Tamandua tetradactyla: one gene and its partner. The main gene of each other region encodes a partner of the protein of the gene in region 2 in a complex. Links are inferred from orthologs where the notes say so. Each region holds a gene or a part of one and is shown on either strand. Other genes may lie near its edges. The genes, in order: MAP1LC3C and pleckstrin homology domain-containing family M member 1.

What was found.
Region 1: the proteins of pleckstrin homology domain-containing family M member 1 (region 2) and MAP1LC3C are in contact, whole or in part, in a crystal structure (PDB 5DPW), measured with the Homo sapiens proteins. The link is inferred for Tamandua tetradactyla from reciprocal best matches to the Homo sapiens genes PLEKHM1 and MAP1LC3C. Residues at the interface, in NP_055613.1 of Homo sapiens: Glu632, Asp633, Glu634, Trp635, Val636, Asn637, Val638, Gln639, Tyr640; in NP_001004343.1 of Homo sapiens: Phe13, Arg16, Lys17, Glu25, Ile29, Phe33, Lys36, Pro38, Asp54, Lys55, Thr56, Lys57, Phe58, Leu59, Val60, Pro61, Glu63, Leu64, Ile72, Arg76, Phe114.

What each region holds. Positions count from the first base shown.
Region 1 is NC_135333.1:13,051,117-13,067,628, reverse strand, and holds MAP1LC3C (microtubule-associated protein 1 light chain 3 gamma), read right to left. Parts: upstream 7,631-16,512; 5' UTR 7,539-7,630; coding exon 7,481-7,538; intron 7,368-7,480; coding exon 7,312-7,367; intron 7,133-7,311; coding exon 7,026-7,132; intron 4,221-7,025; coding exon 3,968-4,220; 3' UTR 3,376-3,967; downstream 1-3,375.
Region 2 is NC_135332.1:18,426,274-18,442,804, forward strand, and holds the start of pleckstrin homology domain-containing family M member 1, read right to left. Parts: upstream 7,735-16,531; 5' UTR 7,622-7,734; intron 6,969-7,621; exon of another isoform or gene 4,979-6,968; intron 1,550-4,978; 5' UTR 1,511-1,549; coding exon 1,463-1,510; intron 1-1,462. UniProt on the Homo sapiens protein: Acts as a multivalent adapter protein that regulates Rab7-dependent and HOPS complex-dependent fusion events in the endolysosomal system and couples autophagic and the endocytic trafficking pathways.

The DNA of each region.
Region 1 (16,512 bases), on a different chromosome or scaffold from region 2:
AAGTTTCTTATGTGTATTTTCTAAAAGAGACCCATACAATATATGTTGCCTTGTTCCCAGCTTATTTTGCACCACATAATATTTCCAAGTCAATAGCAGTGCTTTGGCACACTTCCTCACACCTACACCAGCCGCCTTCACCATAGGTGATCCCCCTGCTAGAAATACTTTCATGTCCAGCAGTCACTCCTAGCCAAGCACCTATACTGGGCAGACACTTCCTCTAAAGTGGAAACCTAATGAGCTTTGGTATCTGAGGAAGTTGAGCGAGGACCAAACCTCTGTGAACCTCCTAGGGGAGAGCACAATGATTCCTGCTAACTAAGTGACCACAGAAAGGGCAAAAGATTGCAGGGTATCCCCCTGGAATCAGCCATACCCACCACCCTGGCCAGAGGGACAGAGGACTAGGGGAAGGCATGGAAGGAAGGGTGGACAGTGAGAAATTACTCATTTATTGGTGGAAATAAATCACAAAAAATGGGTCAGATGCAGCTGATGGAGAAGAAGCTAGGTTGTTTATTAGGAGTATGTGTAGATTAAATATGACCACGACTCCTTAGACATACCTCTTGAAAGGAGAAGCTTCAATTTTCCCATCCCTTCAATCTGGGCTTGACCAAAGAATGCAACAAAATGACACTGGGCAAGACCCAGAGCCTGGGAGAATACAGTTAGACTTGTATTTTCCCCATTGCCTTCCCTGGAACATGACCCTAAAATCACTGTATCTCAGGAGCTGGTTTAGCCTGTTGGAAGATGAGTGGCAATGAGGGTGGTCCCAAGACACAGGCCAACAGCCAGAATTCAGGGCCTCTTTCACCTGCCAGCTCAACATAGCTGCCTGCGTGAGCCCAGGTGAAAGCAGCTGAGGAACCTCGTCGCCAAGCCAGAATATCGTGAGAAAGAATAAATCCTGTTTTATGTCACTAAGTTTATGTCACTTGGGTTTCCGGCATGGCAGGTGAGAATTCTGTCACTGAGCCACCGTTGTTGTACCACCCTATGTCAGGGTATTCCCTGGGCATCCTCTCCTGAATCTTCCCACTTCTGTCCCTAAGTTTTCACCTGTCTCTTCTAGTCATTCCCGCCTCCACTCCAGTGGCAGATCAATACTTTCGTATTGTTTGTTTGTTTGTTTTCGATCAATACTTTTTATCTTTGTCATTTTTAGTGTGTAATAATTTAAGATAATGTAATCTTTCCATTGTTCAGCAGAAATTGGCCCAGGTTATTTTCATGGAGACGGTGAAGAAATGATCAAAGTAAAAGGAAAATGGATGTAAAAGGGGAGGAATCATCAGGGACAATTGTTCTCTGAGCTAGGGGGCCAGTCCATATCAATAGGGACCCAGGGTCTGGAAGAAAGAATGAAAGAAAGAAGATGACAATAAATATTTGCTAAAACTTTAATTTATGCCCATTGAAAATATCCTGCTCCAATCAGAAAAGCCAAAAGCATGGAAGGAAATAGCGTCAATAAAAATATTGGAAACTGAAAAACATAGTTCACTTTCTTACACAATTTGCAGGCTCTTCCTCCAGATCACAAAGAACTGACTTCTTCTCATGGTATGGACTCAGATCAAAAGCCACCTCCTCCAAGAAGCCTTCCCTGACCATCGAGGTAGAGTCTTCTTCACTGTCTCTGCTCCCAACTCTGTTTTATTGTTTCTTTACATTATTACTAGTCTCTGTATTTTCATTCTTTCCTCACTGGAGCCAGTTCCATGAGACTGGGCCCTTCTCTGTCTTGTTTACTGCTGTAGCTCTTGCCTGGCACACAACAGATGTGTAATAAATCTTTACTGGCTGTAAGTGAAAACAAAAACAACAAAAAAGAATTTCTTCTCATGAAAACTCTTTTCCTTCTCCAAACCCAACTCAAACTGCACTCCTCTGTGTGTCTTTCCTGAGTGAACCCTCCGAACACAGTGGTACTCTGCCTTCTTTGGGCTCTCCTCTTCTTGGCATAGAACTAGTTCTATTTTTAATATAATTCTTAAAATATAACATTTTTTACTAGAGGAGTTGTAGGTTTATAGAAAAATCATGCAGAAAATACAGAGTTCCCATATACCTCGGCATTAACAGCTTGCATTAGTGTGGTTCCTTGTTACAACTGATAAAAGAATATTATTATAATTGTACCGTTAATTATGGTTCGTAGTTTACATTAGGGTTTACTGTTTGTGTTGTAAAGTCCCATGTGCTTTTTTTTAATTCCAATAACATATATTCAACCTAAAGTCTCCCTTGAACCACATTCAAACATATAATTCAGTGCAGAGTTGTGTTCACAATATTGTGCCACCATCATTACCATCCATTACCAAAATGTTTCCATCACCCCAAACAGAAACTCTGTACCAATCAAGCATTAACTCTCCATCCCCTCTCCCTACCTTGGCCCCTGGTAGCCTATATTCTAGTCTCTGACTCTATGAATTTGCTTATTCTAATTATTTCCTATCAGTGAAATCATGTCCTTTGCACAAAACTAGATTTACATGTCCAAGCTTTACTGCAGTTATGTGTCTCCCTCTCTGTACTGGTTTGAATTTGTGCACCCCAGAAAATCCTTTAATCTTCATTCAGTATTGCTGGGTGGGAGTTTTAAAATTATCCATGGAGAGGTGACCCATCTAATTGTGGGTGGTAACTTTTGATTAGATGATTTCCATGGAGGTGTGTCTCCACCCATTCAAAGCGGGATTTGCTTCCTGGAGCCCTTTAAGAGACAACCATTTTGGAAAGAGCTACAGACCCTGCGCAGCCAGAGACCTTCGGAGATGCAGAAGGAACACGTCCCAGGGGAGCTTCATGAACCAAGAAGCCTAGAGAGAAAGCTAGCAGACACCACCATGCTCGCCATGTGCCTTTCCAGTTGAGAGAAAGACCCTGAACGTCATTGGCCTTCTTGAGCCAAGGTATCTTTCCCTGGATGCCTTAGATTGAACATTTCTATAGCCTTGCTTTAGTTGGGACATTTTCACAGTCTTAGAAATGTGGACTTGCAACTTAATAAATTCCTTTTAAAAGCCGTTCTGTTTCTGGTGTATTGAATTCTGGCAGCTAGCAAACTAGAACACTCTTTGTTTCCCATTGCGAATTGTTAAGCTAGTAACTCAGTTTCAATTCAAGCATATTCGGTTCCCACCAAGTGAAGAAACTTCTGCGTTAGAAAGGAAGACTAGCAAAGGGGTTTGGGGCTTGATTTCAAAATCTAGTTGGGACCTTGGGTGAGTTTCTTGACCTTTCATTGACCTAATTTTCTCATTTTAAAATGGGGATTATAGTACTTAACATATAGAAGAGTCATGAGGAATAAACACATGTAGAGTATTTGAATAAAGCCTGGTCTATAAAAAGAACTTAAATGCTGACTACTATTTTAAAGATTCTTATCTTAAAAAAAGACTATTAATTTAAATTATTTAAAATCAAGAAGTCATAATGCTGGCATAGACAAAAAAGAATATAATAGGAAATAACTGAGTGAGTACTATGGAAATGTAACAAGAGTCTCTTTAATGACACAGATAAGACCACACCCGGATAAGCTTTAATGTGGTTGCACTGTCTGCACCGGCTTCCAGAGAGACCACCGAGCAGGCATTCTCTGTACACTGACCCACAGAAGTGACACCTCCAGGAGACAGTGAACTCGGATTCCCCAAGGCTCTGCCCTACCTCCACCACCGAAGACGTTTTAAAGATAACTCCAGCGCATCATGCAACATCATCACACAAATCCACCATTGCTTATTCAGACAAAAAGAATCACCATTTACAAAATTTCCATGAGCAATGGGAGCTTCTTCCAGTGACAGGGCTCATGAAAAGAGAAACCAAGCCAGAAACGACCGGTGGCTTCAGTGTCGTTTGATGGGGCTGTCTCTCCAGGTCATACTCGTTTTCCTCGACCCTTCCACCGCACGCACAGGAACAGCCAGTCCCATCTGCATCAGTTAGAAGACAACTTCTTCTTGACCGGAGCCTGAGAGGCTGGCAGCCCTGTTCCCAAGAGGCGCCGGTCCCTGATGGCTGTCCACCCCAAGCCACCGAACATCTCCTGGGAGGCGTAGGTCATGTACACGAAGCCGTCCTTGTCCTTGTGGTCCCTGTAGATCTCGGCCATGGTCACACTCGTACTGACCAGGCTCCTATTGTTCACCAGCACGTAAAAGGCTTCAGTGGCCCTTAGGACCAGGCGGCTCCTGGGTTGGTGGGAGCAGGTGGGTAGGGGAGGGCACAGGTGTGGGGTGGGGAGATGGCAGAAAGGAAAGAAGTTAATCTGGCAGGGAATGGGCCTCTGATCTGAAGGTGTAGCTCAGTTTTTGTCCAATGTAAGCTTCTACCCAGATGCCCTCCCTTCCCCAATCTAGGGCTGTGGTCCTCACACTTTAGAATCATCCAGGAGAGACCTGTTGAAAATGCAGATTCCTGGGATCCAGTACCCCCCCCACCTCCCCCACCCCCTCCACCCCCACAGATTTAAATTGAATTGATCTGGGAAGCAGCCTAGGCATCTGTGTGATTGTGAAGTAAGTGCACCTCACGTTGAGAACCATTGCTCAAGAGACACAGGCAGCACCCCTGCTGCCCCACCGCTGCCTGAAGTCTCTCAAACTGCCATTTCTACCTATATGCCTGCCTGCACCATCCTTGCTGAAACGGTAGTTTATATCTGTCCACCACTTAACTTTCTTTTTTTTGTACTCAGTATGGTGGGGCCACAGTTCGTTCTTTTTCCATGTGAGTATCCCGTTATTGCAGCACCATTTGTTAAATTTTTTGTTTGTTTCTTTGTTTGCTTGGGAAGTGCCTGGTCCAGGAATTGAACCCAGGTCTCCCCATGGCAGGCGAGAATTCTACCACTGATCCACCTTTGCACCCCCCACCACTTAACTTTTTTAACAAAACCTCAGCCCTTGTCTCATTTGATTCCCTACTTTATAGATAAAAAAACCAAAGTGTAGAAAAAATTAAAGGACCTGCCTAAATGGCCTTCTCTGTAGTATTACTGGGGCAACAAAATAGTTATTAGAAATTGGCCAAAAGATTCACTATACTTCCCGGAAGATTTCAAATGCCCTGGGACTCTCAGTTGGGCCCGAAGTGCAAGGCCATGTCTTCATTTACTAGAAAAAATACATACAGGTTAAAAATGCTAAGCAAGGGCAGGCCATGGTGGCTCAGCAGGCAGAGTTCTCACCTGCCATGCTGGAGACCCGGGTTCGATTCCCGGTGCCTGCCCATGCAAAAGGAAAAAAAAAAAAAAAAAGCTAAGTAAGTAGGCCTCTGTTTGCTATGAATCTAAAGTGAAGAATTCTCCAGTAATGCCACATAACCTATCACTTAAACAGCTTCGGGGCAGGGGCGGGGGGCATTTAGAACAACTTCTCCCTTGGATTAAGGTGACAAAGGAGCAGCCACATTTGGTTGGGCATGCTAAGAGCTCTGAATCATTGTTTTGGCATCATGGCAAGTTACATCTATTGGTGATGGCTAAATGTCTCTTTTTCCACCCATCCTCCTCAACAGCCAACCCGCCTCACCCTACGTTGTTTAAGAGCCATGGCCGGTGCCCTCCTGGGCCCAGCTGAAAGGTGCCAGGCCAGTTACTTGATGCTGGCAGACCCAGAGACTGAGTCCTGACAATTGCATTGTCCTCCTGGGATGACCAAACATCTGTTCTGTAGAAAGGACAGAGCTGAAGAGGAGGTCGGCAGTTGGTTCTCAAAGGATACCCTTCTTGTCAAGAAATTTGACCTTCTTTTCCTTCCATCTCCTATTAGGTTATCCTTTTAACGTCGAGAGGTCCCCAAGAGGGAGAACTCTGTGGCTTAGAAGATGTTTAGGGCAGGAATTTTGTCTGTTTTGTTCACTGTCCCATACCCAGAGCATAGAATATAAATAGCCTGATATATAGTGCGTGCTGCGTGTCAACTATTTTTGAAGGAATTAAAGTAGAAATTTGAAATCTCTGGGATGGAGAATGGGGAGTGCGTGAAGACTGTAGGTGGCCCTACATGGAGGAAAGGGGGGAATGGTGCCCAACGATCTAATCCTGATTTTGGTTCTCCCATAGCTGCCTTCAGTTTCCACCAGATTCACCTAAACAACCCTTAGCAGATCTGAGGAAAACTCTGGGCGTTCTAAAAGAGCTCATAAAAAAATCATAGTAAGTGCTCTGGAGAAAATGCCTGCATCAGCTAAAACCTCCGAGAGGTTATTTCCGCCTCAGGGAGACACACACACACCAGCCATGCTGACGGCCGCCCCCCTCCCCCCCACCAGTCAACGGGCTTTAGTTCCAAATCGTATTTATTGAGTCTAGCTGACAGGCACCAACTGAAATCCCATAAGTTTTATGTTTAAAATCAGCAACATTTCCTTTGCTTTGCCCTTCCTTCTCCTGAGAGGGAGAAAGCCGTGCAGGAGCAGAAGGTACTTGCTTCCTGTGCTCGGTGATCCTAGCAGATGCACAAAACCCAACCCCTCACTGCCATCAGGGGAGCAAAGAAAGAGAACTAATGAGGGCAAAATGCTGACTGCTGGGCCCCCAAAATACCTGACAACGGAGGGTTTCTTCAACTAGTTTCAGAAACAAGTCTCCTTTGAAAAGTCATTAGAGACATTTGAAGGTAGCAATTAAAATAGGGTCTCAGTAAAAGTTGAAATAAAAGAGAAAACAGCTCTTACGTCAACACTGGGACCTCTCACTGAGGGTTATTAGCAAGGTATTTCTTTTCTGTTTAAAATAGGGGATGCATGAGCTCGCCTTGTTTTGCAGGGGGTGGGCACGGTGCATGGTTTGTGAATCGATCCCAGATCTCCTGCATGTAAGGTGAGCATTCTACCAGTGAACCACCCGTTCACCCAAGCTCACCCTTTTTAAAAGTATAATTAAAGGAAAAGGTGAAGCAGAACTCTTTCCTGTCTCCCTCTGCCAGACCCCCACTCTCCCCAAAGCCCAGAGACATCCACAGCTGCCACCTCCCGCAGGATTCATCACCTACCGAAGGACGCTGAGGAACTGAGTCACGGTCAGCTCCTGTGGGACCAGGAACTTGGTTTTGTCCAGGAGGGGCAGGAACTTCTCCCTGGGATAGCGCTCCACTACCACCTGTCAAATGTCTCAGCATGAATCTTTCCTGAAACAAGTGCCTAAGACTGTGACTCAGTGTTCTTAGGAACTTGGAACAGAGAGAAGGAGGTTGTTGAGTGGTTTTTGTTTTTACAAAGAACAGAATCACAGGCCCCCCTACCACCCCACTCCCACCCCCAGGAAAACACGAGTCTTACCGGAATCTTGCTTGGGAACTTTGCCCGGATTCCAGCAACTTCCTCTCTTCTGGTTGCTGTGAAAATTGTAAGTGCAAAGGAATATATAAGCATGTAAGAGAAGTCTGCATTTTAAAAATTTTCCCTTTCTTAAGATTTGGAATCTAAAAAGACACCCCCAGAACTTTACCTAAGCTCTTCCTCTGCTTGAAAGGTCTGGGGCTTGGGCTTTTCTGTGGAGGCTGCATTTTTACAGCTGTGTCTGTCTGATTAAAAAAAGAAAAGAAAGAAAGAAAAGAAAAGCCCAGGACCAGGACCTAACTCATTCCTCTAGCTGCTTCCAAACTGCCTGCAGGAACCTGAGGAAGCCCTTACATAGGGCTGTGTGATATCAGACTTCTCCTTCCCTCCCCTTTTCCCACCCCCTATCCAGGCAGGAGGGAGGTAGGTTCTGAGGATGGAAATGGAATTTGCATGCTTGTTAGTCAGAGAAAGTCACTTTGCTCATAACTAATTAAGAATTTGTCTTTACTAAGGAAATCAAGGTTTACAACGTAGTGCATTGGTCCTGGATAGAAATAGCCTTAAGTAAGGACATTTATTATTGTTGTTATTATTTTTTTATTAAACTTTTTAGTGAGTTAAGCCTTTGTGATACTGTGATGCAAAGAATGTACTTTGCATATGGAAAGAATACTTCTTTTGGGGTTCCAAAGGGTGGAGTGTGCTGGTTTGAATCTGTTATGTGCCGCCCAAAAACCTACGTTCCTTTAATCCATTCTTGTGGGGACAGAACTATTGTGGGTAGGACCTTTTGGTTAGGCTGTTTCCATGGCAAGTGTGGACATTTAACACTAAAGCAATGAAGGTAATCTAAGATTCTTCCACCTTACCCTGAAATGTGCTGCTGTTTTTCACAGTAAAAAATAGATACTCATAAATGTTGAGTGATCTGCCCAAGGTCGCACAAATAAGAAGATGTGAAATTAGGGTTGAGATCTAATGTGTGTCAAAGTAATATTCCCCTCTGCAATTGCCCAACATATTTTGTCATATTTCTGCAGTTCCAAGAATGTGAGCAGGACAGTTATCATATTAAGATCTCGCCTTTAAAAAATAGATGCAACCACGAGCCACAAAAATGAACTTATTTACCTGGGATTAAACAGATAGTTAAAGACAGTTCTGCTTGCCGTCCAGGATGCTTTCCATGAGATCATTCTTTTAAATGGAAATTATGGTTTTAGGGACCCAGCTTCCCCTTCTGGAAAATGATATTGCTATCGAAGCTGATCACCCACTCACTTCACATCCAAGAGCACAGTGGTCCCTTCGTATTTCCAGGCCCAGCCCCATCCTGAATGGAGAATAGACTGAACCATTTGCATCTCCTCCATTGTTGGTTGTGCTCCTGAGAAGTCATTGGCCTTCGCTGGGACCATTCCAGACCGAGTCATCTGACACTGAAAGAGTCTTCAGACTGATGATGATACAGAAGGAAATGATCAAACATTCTCCAGACTGGCTGAGTGACAGAACAAAAAAGAAGTAGGCTATTACTGTTGTTTACACAACTATTTAAGTCTCTATTTTTTAAGTTTTGCCTTTCCTTCTGCCAACAAAGCCGGAGTAATGGTTGCCAAGCCCACCCTGAGGCCTTGAGTGAGACAATGAGGAGAGAGAACTTGGTCTCAGCAGTCAGAAGGGTTTCTTAGCAGGCCTCCAGATTCTAAGGCCATTTCAGCATAGTCGTGTCCTTCCTTGACTCTGTCTAGGCCCTGTGGAGTGAGTTGGGGAAGTAAGTTGAGTTGTTTTATTGTATTTACTCAAAATATTTTTATTGAGAAATCTTCACCCATCACAACATCCATCCAAAGTATACCATCAGGGGTCACAATATCATCACATGGTTGTGTATTTATCACCATGATCATTTTTAGATAATTTGCAACACTCCAGAAAAATAAAGAGAAAAAAGAAAAAAACTCAGACATATCATACTCCTAACCCCGCTCTCTCATTGATCGTTAGTATTTCCATCTACCAATTTATTTGACCTTTCATCCCCCATATTGATTATTTATTTCTTATCTATATTATTTTACTCATCTGTCCATACCCTTGATAAAGGGAGTGTTAGCTATAATGTTTTCAAAATCACACAGTCACATTGTAAGAGTTATATCATTATACAATCTTCTTCAAGAATTAAGGCTACTGGAACACAGTTCACACTTTCAGGTACTTCCCTCTAGCCACTCCAATACACCATACACTAAAAAGGGATATCTATATAATGTATAAAAATAACCTCCAGGATAACCTCTTGACTCTGAAATCTCTCAGCCACTGAAACTTTATTTTGTTTCATATCTCTCTTCCCCCTTTGGTCCAGAAGGCTTTCTCAATTCCATGATGACAGGTCCTGCCTCATCCCCAGGACTCATGTCCCACATTGCCAGGGAGATTTACACCCCTGGGAGTCATGTCGCACATAGTGGGGAGGGCAGTGAGTTCATCTGCGGAGTTGGCTTAGAGAGAAAGGCCATATCTGAGTAACAAAAGAGGTCTCTGGGGGACTGTTAGACATAGTTATAATTAGCTTAAGCTCTCCTTTGGAGAAATAATTTTTATAGGGTCAAAGCCCAAGATCGAAGGCTCAGCCTATTAAATTGGTAGTCCTCAATGCTTGCAAGGATATCAGGAATTCCCCAGGTGGAGAAGTTTAATATTTCCTCCTTTCTCCCCAGCTCCCCAAGGGGGCTTTGCAAATACTTTTTTATTCTCTGCCAAATTACTCTGGGATGTATTGGTAGATCGCACTGTTCTTTACAAACCAACAAGCTCTCATGCCCTATTCAAGATTCCATGTAATTGTGGTGTTTGAATGCACAAGTTAAATTAGATACTGTGTGACAGAAAATATAAACCTCTTCCTTCTCTTTCTTTTGTCTCACACAGAAGTTGAGGTTTTAATATATAAACCATATCATCCTTTACCCTGCACTCTGATGTACCTTAGTCCTATCCAGGTCAGCTTCACTCATATTTCTAGTTGAAGTCTGATCACTTTTTCAACAGTTTCTGTGTGGGATAATGCTGACTTTCATAGCTTCAGGGCTCTCTGAGACTCAGTTGTCACACAAATACCCAAAGTTCCAGGTAATGACCAGGTTATATACAGAGAGTTCAGCATCTTAGAATTCAGAAATAACAGTTACAACTCTGGAATAGATGTGACTGCTATAAGAACTTACAATTTAGGAACCTTTATAATAGGTCTTAACCTGATGCCCTATGCTCTTGATTTCATTTCTCTGAGTTTGTATATTATAGTTAGTTCATATGAGTGAGGTATAATAATATTTATCTTTTCGTTTCTGACATTTCATTCAACATACTGTCCTTAAGGGTCATTCACCTAGTTGCATGCCTCACACCTTCATTCCTTCTTGCAGCTCTCAGTAGTCTGTTGTCATTGTATTATACAACATAGTTTCCCCTTCCATTCCTCAGTCATTGTACTCTTAGGCCAGCTCCATTCATTGCGAGTCATGAACAGGAACACTGCCGCCATAAACACCAGTGTGCAAATGTCCATTCCTGTCCGCACACTCAGTTCCTCCAGGTATATACTGAGCAATGGGGTTTCAGCATCCTATGGCAATGACACCCCTAGTCTCCTGTGGAATCACCACACTCCCCTCCAGGGGGCTGCACCTCTCAGATCCCTACAGACAGTGAATAGATCCATCTCTTTCTCCACATGTTCTCCAGCACTTGTTTCTCTCTGTTCATTTTTAAACAGTTTTATTCACATATCGTACAATCCAACCGAAATAAAAAATCAGTGGTTCCTGGTATAATCACAGGGCCATGCCCTCACCACCATAGTCTATATGAGGACATTTCCTTTTCTTCTGCAAAGAATTCCATGCCCCTCCCAGAGCTGAGTCGATTATACAGCTCTACACCACGCAGTCAGCTTGTCTGGGTGCTGGAACCCAGGAAGGGCCCGGGCAAGTCTTCCGTAAAGATGCATGGCTTGGGGGTCCCTTTCTTTTCCCTTTTTGGACCTCTTAACTCTTTCCTATTCATACTCACCCAGTTTATCATTTAATCCTTTAAAAAGCTCTGAGTTCTCCTAATGTCATTGTGATTGCTCAAGAAGAGTGAATCCTACATTTTTCATATCTACATCATGAAATTTTCCTTCCAAGGTTTTATGTCTTTTATTTGAGAAAAATAATGATCACTGCCATTTAATAACTATTAGTTAGGATGGACGAAGCTATGCTAATGCGAGAAATATACCCCAAACTCAGTTGCTAAACATAAAGCTTTATTCTCATCCTCATAATGGCCCAATGCAAACAGGAAGATTCTCTTGTTTGGTTCTACTCCAAAAGAAATTCAGGCATACGTGCTGTTTCAGATGCGCTATTCTGTTTATTTCAAAGTCCTTTGTTTCCAGCATGTCAGATGTGAAAATGGGCGGCAAAGGCATGCTTGCTCTTAATTGCCTCCGACTTAAAAGTGCTTAGAGTGACAGCTAACTTCCACTCTCCTGCCACTGATGTACCTTAAACATAGGAATAGTTTGGGGGAGGTGTGAAATAAGGAAGCAAAGATAATTTCCCAGGCAACTCCTACAGTCTTTATTGGTTTCACATTTAAAATCCACCCCTCAAGCACACGCACAAAGTGTAGGCACTAGAATTAGACTGTTCAGGTTTGAACTCTGGTTCTATCACCTACTAGCTAAGTGAACTTTGGCCCATTGATACACTCTTCTCTCTACCAGTTACCTCATGTGTAGAATGAAAAAACGAAATGAAACAAAACAAAAAACTACCTTAGTGGGCTGCTGCATCCAGTGGGTTTGTTAATATATGTAAAAAAAAATTTACAACAGTGCGTGGGGCACATACCACCCTATAAGTGTAAGTTATTATTTCTACCATTTTGTTGGTGAAGAACTTGAGGTTCAAAGAGGTTCCCTAGAGCCTTTGGACAAGACAAGGTTGTTGGTTTTCAAGCTGCCATGAAAGTCTAAGGTTGAACTGGACAAAAGACTTAACTTATTAACATTGCCATTATTATTATCCTTCATTGGAAAAAAGGGAGGAATTATTAAGTGTGCTTGACACCATGTTAAATACTATACATATTTTCCGAATTATTCCTTCTGAGCTTGGAGATGCAAAATAACATGCTCTGGATCCCACAGCTGGTGTGATTTGAACTCATGTCTATACAACACCAAAAGCTATGTTTATTCCATTATAACTTAATGTGTTCCATTCTTGACTTTTAAATTAATAAATTGCGGGGGGAACCTTGTAATCTTAGGGAGAATATTTTCTGAGATTTCTCTAGCAGTCTCTTTACCTCAACAATTCTTAAATGACCAGATCCTCTGTCGCACCCACTGTTTGGATCTTCAGAGTTCATTTCAAAGTGGAAATCGTTCCCTCTAATCCCTCCAAACCTGAAGCCTAATTGCCCACTTCCCAAATGTCATCACAGAATGACTTTTTTAGAAATAAAACCATAGCATCCCAGAGTGAAGGTGAGCGCGCCACCCCCAGCTCCTTTGGGTTGCCAAGTTAAAGGATTTAAGTGCCTGCCTCAGAACTCCCACCGTCAGCTGTCATAAGCCCCAGCTCTCCTGTTATGAGTCAACTTTGGCAGTGTTTGTATCTTATCCATGGGGATTAAAAAGCATGTTCTGACATTGAGGCTGTTCATGGGCTTGTACTAATCCCTTAGACACAGGAAGGTAGGAAGGGAAAAAAGTAAACCTAATGCGGACCTGAAAAACATTGGTAAACTGGTTAGAGAAGGTAGCAAGCTTTGGTGGAATTAGTTGCAAAGGGAGTTCCAAGCCCATTTTCCTAAAACACTGAGAAAGTTCTTGCTTTTCAGCATCTATTACATTAATTAGAATGTGCTCCTGAAAACACCTGGCCCTTGGCCCTGTGGGCCCTTAGAAAATGGCATTTTTAGAATATTTGAGGCTGGGAGGAGGATATGGCACAGATCAGCCACTGTGACCTGATGTTCTGGGACCTTGGGAATTTACCCAACCTGATTTCCCAGCCATCTGACCTCACCCAGAGAGGCTCACAACGTAGATATTAGTTGCATTACCTATCTATTCTTGCATAACAAATCATTCCTAAACTCAGCAGCTTAAAACAACAACAAACATTATTTCATGGGTTGTGTGGCAAGCAATTCAGGAGCAGCTTAGCTGGTTCTGGCTCGGAGTCTTTAATGAGCTTTTAGTTAAGATGTTGGCTGGGGCTGCTTCCAAAACAGCTCCCTCCTGTGGCTGACAGGTTAACCTACTCTCTCTGGGGAGGCAGCGTGTGATCATTCCTTGTTTCCATCTTCTCTGCAGTAACTGGGCCATTTGTCTCTAAGTCTGATCCAATCTAAGTTAAGACCATGCTTGGTAAATGCCTTTAACAGTGAGGGGAATCCTAGAATGATAAATATCACAAAATGGAATAAACCTTAACACTTCCAAGAAAGGCTGCCAACCTTCCCCACTTCTAATCTCTTTTCTGTGTCCTGACCGTATATATTTTTGTGACTAGTGAAATTACTAAAACATTACTATTTTGGGTTAATAAATTAGCTTTAAAATCTGAATCGCTATGAAAAAAAGTCTGGCTTTAAACACTTTTTTCAAAATACTGTACTGAAATAGTCAATGAAGCACTGACAATAGAAAATAATTTAAATGTCATCAGTTAAGAGTTAATTATGACATGCGTTATATAGAACTAAAGGTAGTGGTTAAAGCTTTTTAATGTATATTGACAGGAAGATTGCAAAATTATGCGATTATAAAAATTAGTGCAGAACTCATGTTTTTAAAAAGTCACAGAAAAAGCGGCATAGAAAAGACATATTCATCAAATTGATAATATGGAAGGGTACTAGGATTAGGGTACTAACAAGTGTTTTGAAATTCATCTGTAATGCTGGAATATTTAAGTGAGAATATATTGTGTTCTACTTGTACAATTAAAAGAAATAAAAATATTGTATAAGAAAGCATTTTTATAGACTCAAAGGTGCTTGGATTTTATTTCCTCCCTCCCAAAATTAAGTGATGTGGAGGAGCTGCCCTCTTGTGGAACTTTTGAAATAGTCTTTAAATGGTTACCCATCAATCAAAAAGATTACTGTGTGTTTGATTCTCAGAATTTTGATGTTGCAATTTCAGAAATTTCAACCCCTCATGTTTAACTGTGAAAAACAAAGGCGTGAACAGTTCAGTGGTTCACCTGAGGTCACTCAGAATTTCAGACAAGTCTTCTGATTCCTATCTGGAGTTCTTTCAACTTCTTCTGCCTCCCTGAAACAACGATCAGCAAGTGTTAAACACCAATGTGTTTAGGGAGAGATTTAGTGGATGGGAAACGTCAGTATAGAGAAACCGGAAGAGTCAAATGAAAATGCTAGACATAAAAAACAGAGAGATGAAGAATGGCTCATGATCTCATCACTAGACTTAAGACAGTCAAGGAAAGAATCAGCAAACTTGAAGATGAGTTAATAGAAATTACCCAAACTGTAAAACAGAAAAAAGGAACAGGGGTAAACATAACAGCATCCGAGAACTGCGGGACGAACTCAAACTGTCCAACACATGTAACTGGAATTCCAGAAAGAGAAGAATGGGACTGAAATGGGACTGGGACTCATACTGTTTGTTATAGAGTGTCACTTCTTCCTTTTTTTAAGCAGTCTTACCTTTCCCTCAGTTGCGCTTCATGTCTTTTAAGATCAGAGCCCATCTGGTGTCAATTGTCGAGAGACAATTGTCCAAAACTTCGTCTTTGACTGGGGAGGAAGGTTGTTGCCTGATTTTGTGTATGAGGATTGAGATTTGTAGTATCTACTGTGTTTCATTTATTCTAAGGTACTCATTTGAACATTGAGAAAAAAATAGGGTGTCTTACTGTTGATGGCATGTCAATATAATGGATGTTTCTTCTTTTTTCCAATGGTTCATAAAGTAATGATGTATTTTACAATCAATAGCATCTTCAGTTTGATGAACTACTAGCATTTAAAAAAATTATTGTAAAACCACACAAAACAGCTATATGGCTTGTTATTATAAGGCTGACCCCTTGCCTTTTAAAATAAGATGGCTTAGTTACTAAAGGCAAACACCCCATAAGCCACTCAAGTAATAAAATTTTGTCAGCCAGTCCTAGAAAGCCCATCATTTGTCCTCCCTCTTTTAGAATATCCTGAATTTTATAGCAATCACTCCTTTGAATATCTTCAATACTTTATAACCAGAATGTGCATCCCTAAGTACTCTAGTATCTTACTCTACTTAACCTGCTCTTCCTCTACCTCTATTTTCTCTCCTGCTCAATTTTGATAAAACCAAAATTTCTCTTCCATGGGGGACCCTTTCCAGGAATGGAGACTTGTCTGTTCAGTTTCAGTAGTTCATAAGTACTAGATTATTTAAGTCCCGCATACACCCACGTTGGAAATGAGTGAAACCTTTCCCAATCCCAAATACTGTTAAATAGGCCCGCTTTAGTTATTTCTCAGGCCCATCAGATGCTCTGTTGCCTCTACTTCTCAATAGATGCCAATTTCATGTAGGTTATGGACTATAGTGGGTTTGTATTCATTCACTTGTATTTTGGGATTTGAGGACATCAAGTCACCTAAATTTGTTTTAAATGTTCTCTGTATTTGGTTTGCTATCCAGCTGCTTTTATGTGGGGATTTGGAGATTGAAAAATTATGGCATTACTGTCATCTTCCCAATCTCCCATATTAAAGTTTTCATCCAATCCTATTTTCAATCTTACCCTGAACCTGACTTCAAGGGACTTGTATGATGTCTCTATTCACTGAGCACAACACTTCTTTGCTAAATCACTTTTATCATTCAGCCATCCATTTTCCAAGCCCCTGCGAGATGTCTCCTCTCCCATTCTGTAAAAACTTTGTGGGATTATAGTTTTATTCTTTGTGTCATTAAGTGGAATTTCACATTCTTAATTTCTATTATAACACAAACCATGCACAGCGAATTAAAATTGCATAGCTTTTGATCTTTAGAACAGTCTTCCAGACTGGTTTTATTTATTTTTATTTCTTATTTTTTGCATGGGCAGGCACCGGGAAACGAACCCAGTTCTCTAGCATAGCAGGCGAGAACTCTGCCTGCTG
Region 2 (16,531 bases):
TCACTTCCTATTCCCTCCTCCCTTCTTCCCCTGATAACCACTAACCTTCAGTCTGTTCCTATGGATTTCATATAAATGGAGGCATCCAATATCTACCCTTTTATGTCTGGCCTCTTTCAATTAGCAAAATGTTTGCAAGGTTCATCCACCTTGTAGCATGTCTCAGAATTTCATTCCACTTTTTTTTTTTTTTACATGGGCAGGCACCGGGAAACTAATCCAGGTCTCCAGCATGGCAGGTTACAACTCTGCCACTGAGCCACCATTGCCCACCCTCATTCCTTTTCATGCCTGAATAATATTCTATTAAATGGATATATCACATTTTGTTTACCCATTCAGTTGATAGACATTTGGGTTATTTCCACTTTTTGGCTATTATGAATAATTGTGCCATGAACACTTATGTACAAGTTTTTGTGTGGACATATTTTCCACTTTTTGGGGTATATATCTAGAAGCAGAGTTGCTGGATCATACGGTAACTTCATGTTCAATTTTTACATTTCTACCAGCAATGTATGAGGGTTCCAGTTTCTCTACAGTCTCACCAATACCTACCCACTAAATATTGTGTAGGGTATAGAGGGATTAATAAGACATACATTTGAGGATCTCATACCCTCATGGAGTTAGTTCATGCTACCCCTTGTTAGCAGGCTTTGCAGGCCAAGGGCCATGTTCCTGGAGAGCTCTTGGGTGGATGGGAAAGGCAACACAAAGAAAAGGGCCTCTGCCTGAAAGCCAGCTGGTTAAATGTATGGAGCTGGACTCTCCATTGGTCAAAAGAGGGGAAAGCACATCTCTGACATCTGCAGTTCCTTTCAAGCAGAAAGTTCTCTGAATAGGGGAACAACACTGGGGAGGAAAGAAAAAACCTGCCTTCTCCCCCCAAAGCCATCTCAGGATTCTGCCAGGGGCTCAGCCCCAAACTTGCCCTGACCTCCTGACTCTAAGGGAACTGACAGCTTAGCCCACAGACTGCCCAAGAGAGCCCCGGGGCCCAGTTAGGATGCACACAGCAATCAGCGGAGGCTGAGTGGGCTCCAGTTGACTGGTTCAGATATATGTAAGATGCCAACTTACTTTTAAAATTATGAAAACGTAACAAACCAGTGCTTGGGAAGCTGTCTCAACCCAACTTACCGTATTGGCCAAACTGTGTGACCAAATCATGGCCTAAAGGCCAAGGGCTGAAAGTTTAAATGGAAACTCCTGATCTCTGGCTAACTTATCTTAAATCCCCACTGTTTTTTTGTAAATTGTCATTTGTTTTTAATCACCAAAAGGACGACTGAGAAAGGATAGGCTCTCCTCAGACCTACTTCTACTGTAACATTTTCCTCAACCTAAGCCCTCTCTTTTTGGATAGTGCCCATTCATTTCAAAGTTAGAAAAAACTGATAAAACAGTTGTCTCTCTACACCCCTTCTCCACCCTTAATCTTCCCTTGTCCACCTACCTGGATGGCAGCCTGGGGGTCCAGTCCATTCTCCACCACTGACAGCATTTCCACTTGTGCCGCAACTCCCGTGGAATCACACGTCACCTGTGAGACAGATGGAGGCCAGATGAGCAAGTTCTCAACTTAACTCTACCCAGTTCCTCCAGTAGGCAGTAGGATGTCAGCTGATCTCACTCAAACTGCAACCAAAGCTCTTCGGAATCCAAAAGTAAAACCTGGAAAGCGGGTTATAAAGAAGGAAGTAAAAAAGGAAAAAAAAAAAAAAAAATCAGAAGGCTCAGACCTCAGGAGGTGAGGAGTCCTATGATCCCGGGGTGGATCAGCCCCAAGGAGTGGGCGGTAAGGGCCCTTTACTCCAAATGCCAGTACAGAAAGCCAGGAACCTGTGGGATCAGGGTGTGGGAGTGGAAGGAATGGCTGATTTAGATACAGAGATGCTGCAGCTGAAAGATCCATAGGTACCAGGAAGCCGGGGCTGAGAATTCACATTCAGGTCCTGGTTCTGTATTAGGCCCTCTTACCCTAGTCCTGGTCTGCAGGTCAGCAGTGAAAAGAACAAATGAATTAGCTTCAAAAGGGGAAAGACTGCTGCTTTGCTACACTTCTGCTTCTCCTTGAGGCTATAAGGGTCTGCCTTGCAGAGCACAGGAGGATGCATCTAAAGAGACCAACAAAGGTTCTAATCTCCATTTCACCTCTAATTAGCTGGGCATGCTTAGACATTGTATCAGACTGTCAGAAAGAGACATGAACATATGTGAAGTACCCTGCACAGGTCCTGAAATGGACCAGGCACTCAGTAAATGCTATCTTTGATCCCAGTGGATATTGCCACCCACATACCAAATATACAAGCAATACTCAGTTAAATCTGTTTGTTTTTTTTAAGTGGGAAAATGCTTTTCTTTTCTATTGTTGAAGCCCTCACCTTCTCTTGGAGGTACAAGCATTGTTCTGAAAAGGAAGTAAAGGGAGGGCCCTCAGTTGGGATATGGGGGAGCCAGATCCCCAGGTCTAAGGGTAAAGCCATCCCCACCAGTGCAGCCTCAGGGCAGCTGGCTTCCTCCCTGGGGAACTGAATATTTGGTAGAGCCTCCACCTGACTGAGACTGAGAGGGCTGTTAGTTGGCCTATATAACCCCCAATAACTTGAACAGTTGTGTCTGTCTGATTGGGATTGGACAAGCCCATTCACATCTCAACAAATCTCCAGTGAACATAGTGCTGAGCATCAGGGAATACCTCCCCCTCACATCCTCACCCCCCTCCCCCCAAAAAAGATTATTTGCTGTTCTGACGTCAAAAAATCATGGCCCAACAGAGGTTAACAAAACCAAGGAAGGTTAAATGGGTTCTGTATCCTTTACGCATATTGCCTTACTCCTTCCTCATTAACCACATTAGGGGTGATAAGGAAATGGAAGCTGAGGGAGTCAAGGAACTTCCCAAGATTCCATAGCTACTAAGTGGCCTGCCTCTACCACCCACTCCTAGAGTGCCTACTCCAGCTCAAGGGAAAAGACTTCAGACACCTGAATGGGTACAATCACCTAAGTGAACAGGGAAAACTTTCTGGAAGAGGTGAGTATGAGCTAGGCTTGGGTAGGCAGGAAGGGGTGCACTTCAGCTGGGGGCCCAGGTGCACGGGCACATCGAGGCCAGTCTGGCAAGAAAGATTTATAAGAGAGCAGGGAGTGTGAGGTCTGGAAAGGACAGAAGCAGGGTGGTCCTAGAACTTGACGATGCTCTGATTCAATCCCTGGTGTCTGGAGTTGGTAGAAGGTAAACAGGACTCCTAAGTCAGACAAACAGAGGGAGGCAGGTATGTGTAGAGGAGCGCCTCTGCAGACCAGCTCTGGCCAGGACGTGACAGTTTGCCAGGAAAAGCATTTGCCATGGATGCAGCCCCTGTCTGACTGCCTCGCTCTTCACCATATTCTTTGCTCCCATCTACCTGGGGAATCTTAGGGCCTTCCCCTGGGAACCAGCTCATACTCAGGGACCGAGAAGACAAGGAAAGGTGTGCTGTGGTCAACCAGCACAGAGTCACCCCTGGAAATGTGTCTGATCCTGGAGCTTAGGTTCCTTCAAGGCTACCCAAATGTAGCCCAGGGAGATTGCCCAGCAGAGTCAAGGTTCTCTGGGCTCCAACACTCAGCAACTTCAGCCCTTCCAGACAGAGCCCTCAAGCTCTAAACTGCCCCTCCCTAGCCAGCCAGGCCAGGCCCCCAGGTCACGGATCTCAACAATCTAAATTAACAGCCTGGCTCCATTAAGGTCTAATTAGTTGAGAATAATTAAGTATTTATGGAGAGGGGGGTATGAGTAAGGGGGTGATCTTGCCAAGAAATCATTTGCCAAACCAAAGTACACTGAAGATAAGAGAGATTAGAGGAGGGCCAGACAAGTTACTGACTCCTAAACAAAGTGTCAAAAAAGCTACAAAATGACAACAGTTCAGAGGAATCCAGGAGAGCAGCCACTTGACAATCTGGAAAACAGGACCAAGACCTTGGGATTCAGGCCACAATTCAGGACATCTTTTTCCTTGTAGGAAGCCAAAGTGCTTTACCTAGCCACGTCTGTTACATAATGCCTCCAGGAGGCAGACACCAACTCAAAGGCAGGAATTTGACAGTCTAGACCCAAGAAATCACTGTAGAATCAGAGAGGGCTATGGGCCTCTACCTGCTGGTCAGCACCCCATCATCCACCTGAGTGGCCCAGGCCCTAAATCTACCATTGTATGGAAATGGATTCATATTCAGTCCTCAAAACTTTCTTCTCTGACACCAAGATTCAAACCAAAGAGGTGTGGCTTCAAGGAAACCTATGCTGAAGGGAATAAGGGGAGAACTTGGGAAGTGATACCAAATGCCTCTCAGAAAGTCTACCACGGGAAAAGGTAAGTTCTGCCCTTTAGAAAGACACCACATTATGTGATACGGGGCTGCGTCTGCCCTTAAAGTATTGATTCTCCCTTACAGAGCTCTCCAGGGTGAATAAAACAAGCATTTCTAACCACATACTCTAACCTCATTTAATTCTTACAACAATCCTGTGGGAGAAGGATGCTTATTCCTGTTTTACAGTTGAGAAAAATGAGGCTTAGCAGAAACAGGCCTTAAGTAAGGGATAGAGTTCTCCAGAGTTCTCCAGTTCCCTCATTCCAACTCTATGCCTTTCAACCTGATCAAATTGTCTCAGGTTTTGGCTCAAGGAGTTATAGGCAAACTTAATACTTAAGAAGGTTTTAAGAGGTACTCAAAAGCCTCATTTTATCTGTGATCTAAAAGGCCTAAAACCAACTTGCCAATCAGATCTATAGCCCAGGTCCTTTCTACTAGACCCAAGTTTCAGAGCTGGCATTTCTTAAATGCCACAACATATAGTTAGGAAGGAATTATCCTGGTTGTTTTTCACTGGACTGCCTGGCCTTCTGTACATGTTCAATTTCTTTTCCTCTAGAAACCAGGGAAGAAAAAAAAATAGAATAGCTTAGATGAGACTTACATTAAAAGAAGAAATGGATAGCTAGCTTCACCGCTTTCAAATGGGTTTTCAAAACATTCAGCCCATGAGTAAACAGCAACATCTTCTCTTTAGAGACTCCTTAGCCATTCCCAACAGCCTTCCCTCTACTGGCAGAATCACACTGTGTACCTGTTTAGAACAGACTGCAATTTAAGCCACTCAGCTCCTGTACCAGTTGATGAGTCATATTTTTCAGTTGGAAAAGATGATCTTTCAGACATGTGAGTGCTGAATGAGTAAACAGCTGCTTCCTTCCACCTGAAGAAAACTGGATTTCTGGACAAGTGTCTTGTGAGAGGTGGGGGAGAGGAAGCCTTTGAAGCAATTAAATACCAGTTATTTAATTGGTTTGAAATAAGAGGGTTAGATACCAGTCAAGGGCTAACGGGCAAGGGCAGAACTGTGAAGTTGGTGAACACTCAGTATCTTTCTTTCCTTCCTCCTTTCTTCCATCCAATAACACCCATCGCCCCTGATATTCCTGTCCCATTTACCATAGGATTCTAGCTGGGACCAAATTCTGAATGAATGTAAATAGGAACTTTGCCTGATACGGTCATCATCGCATTTCCAGTGCCTCGAATGGTGTCTGGCACACTGTTGTGCTAAAAAAATACTTGCTGAGTGAACTATTGAATAAAATAAAAATAAGGCACAGGACAGGTATCATTGTCTCCATTTCATAGACTGTGGGAAGTTAAGGCATACAACTCATAAGTGATGGGGTGATTATGGAGCTCTTTCCTTTAAACTAAGCTCTTATCAGGATGAAAATCATTCACTATAACAGAGGGCTACTGAAGGTAGAACAGCATCCCCTTCTCAAAAGAATGAGACAATAATGGTGGAATGGCAAGCAAAGGCAATGTGTTCCTCTGGGGGCCTTTCAGCTTGCTACATGAGGAGGACCAACCCTTCTCAAGCTGGGTGACCAGAATGCAGAGGGAATGTGCACCAAGAAGCACTAGGAGACTGTAAATTCTGAAAACGGGGCCTGGGTGTCTCAAGAATAACCCTCTGCCTCAGTTACTATAAGATAACTTGGCTCCAGGCATTCATGGGTAACCTCAAACTGCCAAAATTCAATGACAGCACCTGTGTGTACAGGTGCTCTGTACACACCTAGGCCTCAGCTTCCCTAATATCCTTCGCAACATGTAACATCATCTCTGGCACCCATCACCTACCCTGTGTTCAGTGTTGGGACAGATCTGGCAATCAGCCCTCGTAGGAAGGAGCTTTGAGGGAGGGTCCCTTACAAATGCGAGGACAAGGTACATGGACATGGTTCTGTCATCATGGCCAACCCCACACAGTGACACTCCCTGATGTTCTCCAGGGTCAGAACACAAGCCAAGATGAAGTGAGGGCTCCAAATGACCTCAGCTGGATGAACTGGATGAGTGACCATCCCTCACCTCCTAAGTATTTGGATGATGCCCTACCATTCCAGCAGCCAGGACAAGTAATTTAATATGAATGCTAGAAACACAATTCCTGAGGACAGGTACAGGGGATCAGATACCCAGGGAAAGCCCTGACCCGAGAAAGAAAGAGAGAGAGAGGGAGAGAGAGAAGTACCCCAGTATTTCTCAACACTTATTTACCATCAGAGACTTTGCACACACCCAATTAAGCTGCTCAGTGGTTAACCGCCTGGCTCTCAAGCAAGCACCCAGATTTGGAGGGTGAGAAGCAACTGGTGGGGTTGGCAGGGTGCTCTGCACCAAGTGTTCAGGATGAATGGGAACTGGGGTCAAAAGAAGAATGAGTATGAAGAGTTGGGGTGAGGCAGCAGAGGTGAAAGGACACAGAGATCTTATACTTGAGAAGACTGGGTGAAGGTTGGTAGGAACTGGGCAGCAAGAAGTAGGCACAGTTAAGCAAAGATTTAAGGATGGGGTGTCCACAAGATGGCAGGGAGTGGAAAGATGATTGGAGTTACAGAATGGAGTACATATGTAGTGGGCTAGGAAGTTATGGGCTGAGTTTGTGAGAAGATACATGTAAGACCAAAGGTAAGGCTGGGATCAAGACTTATCAAAGAAGAAAGGGGTAAACTAAACAGGACACCTACTTTGGTGGGAGGTCTTAAATGAGAGTGGGACCGAGGGAGGTGTTTGAGATGAGCAGACCTGGGGGTGGGGTGGGAGACTGGGCTAAAAAGGTTGAGCCAAAAAACGGGAAACCAGAATGGTGGGTTCGGGGAAGTTTCAGCGGAGCATTAGGATTGTCATGGGGGTTGAGGGTAGAGGATGATTCGTGCTATGGGGAGGTAAAAGGATGTGGTTGAGATTGGGGTTGCGACTGGACTAAGTGGGATCAGGGGTGAAGCTGCATTTACGCATGAGGAGAGGTGAGGCGGTAGGGGTAAGGGCTGGAGTCAGGTCATGGGAGAAGGTGGAAGGGACGACCCAGCAGTGACAGGGTCGAAGGCTGGGGTGGGAGTGGGTTTAGGGAAGGACGTGAAGTTTGGGCCGGGAAGGGTTGGGGTGTTTCGAAGCCGGACCGTTTCAAGGCAGCCAGGGGTTTAGGATCACGGAAAGGGCTGCCCATCGCGCGTCCACGTCTCAGCCCCGCCGCCCCTCCGCTGTCCTCCTCGCCGCCTGACCCCTGACTCACCAAAGGGAGCGGGCAAGAGGGCAGGGAACACTGCCGGCCGCGGCAGCCCCTTTGCCTCCGACCGGAAGCTACGACCTCTTGGCCACTGACAACAGGAAACAGGGCCGGCGGCGCCTGACGCCATCACGTTCACTTTGCGCTCCGGCCCCGCCCTCGGCACGTGCAGCCAATCGCGAGGCCCGAAGGAGCCGCGGGGTGGGGTTAGCCCGGGAGCCAAGGCCCCGACGCAGCCTGGGTCTGGGAGGCCTGCGAGCCGGCGGCGGGGTGTAGCGTGCAGAGGCTGGGATCCCACCGCGGGGCAGAACGCGTCCGCCCCGCCCGCCTCCCGCAGGGTCTGCCTCAGACGAGCTCCTGACCGCTCCCGGCTTCAGCCTAACTTTAGAGCCAACTCTTCACCTCCCTCAGCCGGAGGCTGCCCACCTGTAAAAGGAGATTGGTAGAGCCTGCTCTATTGTGCCTCCCCGAGGGCATCAGTGCAGCCCGGCGGGCGGAGCCGGGGCCCAGGCTGGGGCCTCGCGCCTGGCGGCTTGCAGGAAAAACATCCATGTTTGACCACACTTTATACCGGGAGAGCGCCTCGAGGTCCCCCCGGGCGACGGGGAACCCATCATCCTGCGCGGCATGTAAAGCTCAAGGGACCACTTGTTGTCATCTAGCCGAGTAATTTGTTTTCTTATCGTAAACCGTGACGTTTCTAATTCAGGGCAAGAGGTGTCAGCAGGTGCCATGCTTTTAGGCACCCTTCACATGCGTCTAAGAGGGCCCGAGTGTCGCGTGGGTCGGGACGGTGGGAGGTGCCGCTACATGCAGGTCCTAAGTATGTACAGGGGTGGCCGGGGAACAGCTCAGTTTTTGGAAGCAAGCTCTGCTGACCTCGGCGGGGAGTCTTGTGCTCCATTGGCCTCTCCTGGGAAGGTCAGGGTCCCAGCAGCAGCTTTAGTAATTCTCTTCCAGAAGTGACGATTATCTGTCCTAGGTTTTAAGTTGGACAGATCAGAGTGTGTTCAGGAGACTTTATGGTCAATCTTGGAGCAGGAAGATTACAGATGAGGACAGAGACAAGTTAAACTCATTTTAAGCAAGGTAGGAAGGGATATACTGAGAAAGTCTAGTTAATTGGCAAAGAGATAGCGTTTCTGGCCATTACTGTCACTTTGGAGTCTAGGGAATCCCTGAAGTTGTTCACTGGGGGACCTGATGAGAGCACTGGGGGCTTGGTACAAGCATACCCCTCCCTCCCCACTCGAGCACATACTATCCTGCAGTTGTTCCATGGAATTTTCCCCACACCTGCTCTCTGCAGGAGCTGTGGGAACCGGGGAGAAATCTCTCCTCTGCCTTTTTAAGAGCCCCCTCTCCTGGTCTTCTCTTACCTCCCCACCTCTCCACAAAATCTGCTAGCTTTGCTTCTCTTCTTGTCTTGTTATACCCCTTTTGGGACCACTTACCACTTTGGGAAGCTGACTAAAGCAATGCATCCTGGGGCGGGGGCTGCTATGGGGCCAGACAGGAGAGCCTGGAGGAGGCCACTTTTGAACCAAGCCTTCCCAGGTGAGTAGGGGGAAAGGTACTGCAGGTGAAGGGACAGGGAAAGTGCACCAAGAGGTGAAGAGAAGACTAAGAAGTCAGAGAAGGAAAGCAATTAAGGAGAGGGAGTCAGAATAAAGGGGAGATAGAGAAAACACTGGACAAGGGAGAAAGGGAGGATATACAGGCCAAGTTGGAGGCCAGTGCTGGAAGGGCTCCTCACATCCCACTGGCCCATCAGTTTAGATTTAAAGTCCATCCAGAATTAGAAACCCAGGAGTCAGACTTCCCTGGAAATAAATCCTAAATGCAGATTCCTGTGCCCCACCCTGGACCTAAGGAGTCACTCTAGAGTGGGGTTCAAGAATTTGGGCTTCACCACATCTCACCCATCCCCTCCCCTTACCACTGTGGATCTGAAGCATAATTAAATGTGAGGAATCCTGCTGTTCTGAAGCTCCTTTCTGTTTTCAGTCTTCAAATCTGTCTTCCAGGCCTAGGAGATGTCTTTCAACCTATTTATGGAAAATGGAAGCCCCTACTCTTTGCCAGATAGGTGCAAACAGCAAACACCTGTTATTATCCCCGTTTTACAGATGAGGAAACAGGCTTAAGAGAAGTTAAGGAACTTGGTGACCTAAGGCCACACCACAAATGAGCCATAGAAACAGGATTCTAACCCAGGTCTTTTTATTCTAGTTCAAGAGGCAACAGAGTCTAGGGACTGAGCAAGGGCTGTTAAGGTTTGAATGCCACTCTGCTGTATCCCAACTGTTTGCTGGGCCTTCCCTAAAGCAGTGTGGAGCCCAGGACCATTAATGAAACTTAATGGTCCACAGCAGTTCCTTGCCCCTTTTGTCCCTGGCTCACTTTGGGACCTCCCAGGTCAGTCACACGGCTGAGATTTCCCCTCAGTGCTTCCTGGATTGGGGCCTTTATCTCCCGACTCCCTTCTCTTTTTTCTTGGTTTATCCCCTTTGCTAGAACACATCCTTAATTGACTCCCTTTCTAATATTAAAAAAAAAAGGTGAGGGTGGGGGGAGTTGTGAACTCCGTCATGATTGTAGTTGTATTTTTAGTATCCCTTAATTGAAAAAGATACATAAGAACCAAAAATCACCATGAACACACTACTGGCTTTCAAATGAATTTGTGCTTTACTTTTCACAATAGTATCTATTTATATGTGAAAAACTGAAGGATTAGCTCAATCTAACTTCAATCTTGGATCCTCCATCCCTTGCCCACTTCTGGTCACAGAACCTTCTCTTTACTTTTGGGATGAGCCTCCTCCACTCCCTGGGATTCTGCTGAGATTGGGTTACTGATTTAAGGCCCCCATCCCAGGGTTATCCCGTGGCCCAAGCAGGCCAATTAGAGTCCTTTGGAAGGCCTGCTTTTGTCTGAGAGCTTTGCTCTGCAACAGCATGAGACTGACATTCCTGATTACTGATGGCCCTGGAAAACACCAACCCAGATAAAAAAGATGGAAGAGGATGATGTCATTTGAGTCCAGAATACAGCCCAGCCTGGAACCCTTAGGCTTCCTGGTTATATGAACTGATATACCGCATGCCATTTTCTTGGTTTATTTATGCAATGCTTTGTTGAATTCCTCTCACTTGGAACAGAAAGGGCCCTCGCTGATCTATCATCCTTGTGAACTTGGACAAGTTATCTAGCCCCCTCCCCACCTCCCAGCCTAAGTTTCCTCATCTGTTAATTGCAGAGAATAAAATCTACCTCACAGGTAACTTATGAATGTATTTAATATAAGATTTAAGTGAAATGAGATGCATATGCCCTCTATACATGGTAGATATTAGTGAAAGAATACTATTTGCTCTGCGAACAGTGCCTGGTGCACAGGTGCCTGCAGGAACCGGCCCTCTAAGGAAACTGTGGTCACCGTTTGGACATCACTGCCCCACAAGTTGCCTTTTAAGTAGAGCAACTTGTGCTATCCTGCCCCCTTTTGGTTTTCCTGCCTCAACTGGCCTGGATTCAGGATGTTGCCAGGTAGGAACCGCAAACTCTACTACAGGAATTCTCAAACTGGCCCAGGAGGCAGGGTGCCCAGAGTTATGACACATTTTACAGAACACTTATTTCCCTTATAGAACTAGGAACAATCTTGCCAGCAGGAATTATGGCTGAAGCTTTTTTCATGCAAAATAAAATCAAAACCACCTGCACACATTTCTCAGGGGAAAAAAAAAGCTGTCAACCTGTGCATGACAGCTGGTTGAGTTTTTCTTTTATTAATCCAGTTTGCTACCTGTGAGCTCATAATAAGCAGAAAAATGGCAGCAGAAACTAAAAGTTTAAGCTGTGGAGGAAAAAATCAAATATGAAATCATGATGTCTCTTAATTTGTTTTAATTGCAAAGAGATCTCCTTGGGAACATTGCCTGGTATACAGTAACCCTGTATAAGAATGCCTAGGTTCTGATTCATTTTTTGAGTACTTAATGCAAACACATGGTATAAAATTCAAAAGGTACAAAGTGTTTACATTGCTGCAGCCCCACAGTCCCTCTCCCTGAAGGCCTCCACCATTACCAGTTTCTTGTGTGTCTTTTCAGAGGTCTTCTATAGCAGAATTGTCCAGTTGAACTTTCTGTGACGATGGAAATCTGCACTGTCCAATATGATGACCATTAGTTACAGGTAGCAATTGAGCACCTGAAATGTGGCTAGTGTGATTTAGGAGCTTACTTTACATTTTTATTTCATTGGTATTAAGTTTAAATAGCCACATGTGGTGAGTGGCTACTGTATTGGACCAAATAATTCTATACATATAATGGATAGCACATACCATAGTACATCTTCCTTTGTTCATTTAATACCTTTCTTGGAGATAGATTGTTCTATTTTGTCCCCTAAAAAAAACTGCTGCATACTATCCTCTTGAAGTCCACTAAGGCAATCCCTTAGCCATTACTTTTCTTTTTTTTTTTTTTGGCATGGGCAGGCTCCGGAAATCAAACCTGGATCTCTGGCATGGCAGGCAAGAACTCTGCCTGCTGAGCCACTGTGGCTCACCCCCTTAGCCATTACTTTTAACAGCAAGCTCTCAAATAGTCTACCTCTATCACAATCAAGACGCTTCACATCAACTTGAGTTTCTCAACCCCTCTGTTTTTATCAACTTGAGTCTGAGTTAGCTTAACTTTGAGTAGTCACTTACAGGGAATGGGGGAAACTATTTATCATGAATCAGTGCCCTAAAATACCCTTTCCACCCACGTGGCTCTGTGCCTGGAATTCAGTGGTGACATTCTTTAAAGTTAATTGTGGCTCTCTTTAACTGGTTCTCCTTTAAAGGGCAAAATCTCCTGGGAAAGGCAGATATTAAGGCAGAACATCTGGGGTTGATTTTGCTTTTGCCCTGATGACAGGGGCCCAGGGGCTTCGTGGAGCAGTGGGGGATCTGATGATGAATCTCACTATTCTTAAAAATTTCTTTAGGTTCCTGTGGGTCCCTGACTAAGTCTTGCCTCTCGACCGCCTTCCTCTTAGGGTATCTCAGGTGATGGGAATCTTTCTGGTTCCAAATGGCCTCTTGAGAAAGAAATGTCACTAATCTGTTTTGGTGCTTTAACTCTGCATAAGCTCTTCCTTCTGGAGGTCCATAGTGGAGGCAGTGGGTGCAGGATTGGGTGTCAGAGAGATCTGGGTGCAGATCCCTACTCATGGGATGGAGAAATAGCACTCTGCACTGACCTTAGGGAGTTGCCTGTATTTCGTAAGGAATCACATGGGGAGAAGGAAGAACGACCTACAGTGCACTCAGTAATTTTCCCTGAGTCATCACTAAGGGCAGGGCCTGTTACTAGGCATTGTGGGGAGTCAGGGGCTGTGTGGAGAGGAAGGAAATGTGATTCTTTTTTTTTTTACATGGGCAGGCACCGGGAATCGAACCCGGGTCCTCCGGCATGGCAGGCGACCATTCTTGCCTGCTGAGCCATCGTGGCCCACCCAGAGATGTGATTCTTGATGACCTAACAGAACTGTGCTTGAGTCTTCACGTGGATGGACTTAACATTTCGCTGTGCTTCATTTATAGGTAACCACTGGAAGAATGGGACTCCAAACCAGGGCAGTCACATGCTGGCATAGGTAGAATTATTGTCCCCAATTTTCCATCCTTCCCTGCATCTCCACTCTTGCCACAGTCTCATTGTGGTAAAGTGTTCTTTCCAATCCACTGGCTTTGGCCTTTGCCATGTGAATTGCCTTGGTCCACGGAATGGGTCGGAAACAAAAATGTGTCAGTTCTGAGCCTAAACTTTAAGAGGCCTTACAAGTTTCTATTATTAATTTTATGCTTCTGCCTTCATCGTGAGAAGAGCTGCTCCTGGGGAGTTGCTGTCTTTTCAGTCTGGGGCCCAGAAGGTGGAATAGAGCTGCCCCAGCTGGACTGTGGATCCATCCCAAGATGAGGAGCCAACCCAGACAGCACAGCATTAAAGCATGGCCGCACCAGTCAACCTAGAGACTCGTGAGAATTATTTTAAGCCACTAAATCTGGGAATGGTTTGTTACACAGCATTACTGTGGCAATAGCTAGCCAATGCATGTACCCACTCCTTTATTAGGTTATAGGTTCAGCTATTGCAATAGTGACCCAAAAGAACAGAGGCTTAAATAAGAGAAAAGTATATTGATCCCTCATGTAACGATCTGGTTAGGAAGTCCAGGGTTAGTTTGGTTGCTCATGTGTTAGAGAGCCAGAGATCCTTTATATTGATCACAGGTTTAAATCTTAATCTCCTTCTGTTCTGCAAGCCAAAACACTCCACAGTGTGGCGCCAAACTCTTTCCAGCATTACCCTCTGACATAAAAACCCTCAACTCGAACCACTCTTCCCACCTCTGGCTTCAGGGATTTTCCTCTTCTGGAACCTGTATGGTTCCCCTACCCCACTCCACCCCCGCCCTCCAGGTCTTAACCACAGCATCTCACTCCTATCAGGGCCTCTGTAGCCAGTACTGGTGGAGACTGGTACTTCCCAGGAAGAGACCCTGACCCCTGTGGGGATGGGCAGCAGGCCAGCGGTCACTAAGTTGGGTTAAGCAGCCTTCATCAGACCTTAGTCGTCTCATCCTCACCATGCTTGGTCCTTCCTCTCTTTCAGCCCTAAAAAACCAAAGAACCTCTGCTTCCTCCACCTCCCTGCCCTCGCCATACTTCAAGAATTATCAAACTTCAGTGAGCTAAAAAGGCTTGTTTAAATGGGCCTCTCTGTCTGAGATTCTGGTGGGATGGACATGCAGGTTTGGAGGGGAGGTTTCTAGGAATCTTTTTTTTTTTTATTATTAATTAAAAAAAGAATTAACAAAACAATTAGAAATCATTCCAATCTACATGTACAATCAGTAATTCTTAATAACATCACATAATTGCATATTCATCATTTCTTAGTACATTTGCATCGATTTAGAAAAAGAAATAAAAAGACAACAGAATAAGAATTAAAACAATAGAAAGAAAAAAAAACAAAAACAAAAAACCTATACCTCACATGCAGCTTCATTCAGTGTTTTAACATAATTGCATTACAATTGGGTAGTATTGTGCTGTCCATTTCTGAGTTTTTATATCCAGTCCCGTTGTACAGTCTGTATCCCTTCAGCTCCAATTATTCCTTCTCTCTTTTTTTTTCTTTTTTTAATTAACGGAAAAAAAGAAATTAACCCAACATTTAGAGATCATACCATTCTACATATGCAATCAGTAATTCTTAACATCATCACATAGATGCATGATCATCATTTCTTAGTACATATGCATTGGTTTAGAAGAACTAGCAACATAACCGAAAAAGATATAGAATGTTAATATAGAGAAAAAATAAAAGTAATAATAGTAAAATCAAAACAAAACAAAACAAAACAAAACAAACACCTATATCTCAGATGCAGCTTCATTCAGTGTTTTAACATGATTACTTTACAATTAGGTATTATTGTGCTGTCCATTTTTGAGTTTTTGTATCTAGTCCTGTTACACCGTCTGTATCCCTTCAACTCAAATTGGCCATTATCTTACCCTGTTTCTACCTCCTGCTGGACTCTGTTATCAAGGACATATTCCAAATTTATTCTCGAATGTCTGTTCACATCAGTGGGACCATACAGTATTTGTCCTTTAGTTTTTGGCTAGACTCACTCAGCATAATGTTCTCTAGGTCCATCCATGTTATTACATGCTTCATAAGTTTATCCTGTCTTAAAGCTGCATAGTATTCCATCGTATGTATATACCACAGTTTGTTTAGCCACTCTTCTGTTGATGGAGATTTTGGCTGTTTCCATCTCTTTGCAATTGTAAATAACGCTGCTATAAACATTGGTGTGCAAATGTCCGTTTGTGTCTTTGCCCTTAAGTCCTTTGAGTATATTCCCAGCAATGGTATTGCTGGGTCGTATGGCAATTCTATATTCAGCTTTTTGAGGAACCGCCAAACTGCCTTCCACAGTGGTTGCACCATTTGACATTCCCACCAACAGTGGATAAGTGTGCCTCTTTCTCCGCATCCTCTCCAGCACTTGTCATTTTCTGTTTTGTTGATAATGGCCATTCTGGTGGGTGTGAGATGATATCTCATTGTGGTTTTGATTTGCATTTCTCTAATGGCCAGGGACATTGAGCATCTCTTCATGTGCCTTTTGGCCATTTGTATTTCCTCTTCTGATAGGTGTCTGTTCAAGTCTTTTTCCCATTTTGTAATTGGGTTGGCTGTCTTTTTGTTGTTGAGATGAACCATCTCTTTATAAATTCTGGATACTAGACCTTTATCTGATATATCATTTCCAAATATTGTCTCCCATTGTGAAGGCTGTCTTTCTACTTTCTTGATGAAGTTCTTTGATGCACAAAAGTGTTTAATTTTGAGGAGTTCCCATTTATTTATTTCCTTCTTCAGTGCTCTTGCTTTAGGTTTAAGGTCCATAAAACCGCCTCCAGTTGTAAGATCCATAAGATATCTCCCAACATTTTCCTCTGTTTTATGGTCTTAGACCTAATGTTTAGATCTTTGATCCATTTTGAGTTAACTTTTGTATAGGGTGTGAGAGATGGGTCTTCTTTCATTCTTTTGCATATGGATATCCAGTTCTCTAGGCACCATTTATTGAAGAGACTGCTCTGTCCCAGGTGAGTTGGCTTGACTGCCTTATCAAAGATCAAATGTCCATAGATGAGAGGGTCTATATCTGAGCACTCTATTCGATTCCATTGGTCGATATATCTATCTTTATGCCAATACCATGCTGTTTTGACCACTGTGGCTTCATAATATGCCTTAAAGTCAGGCAGCGCGAGACCTCCAGCTTCGTTTTTTTTCCTCAAGATGTTTTTAGCAATTCGGGGC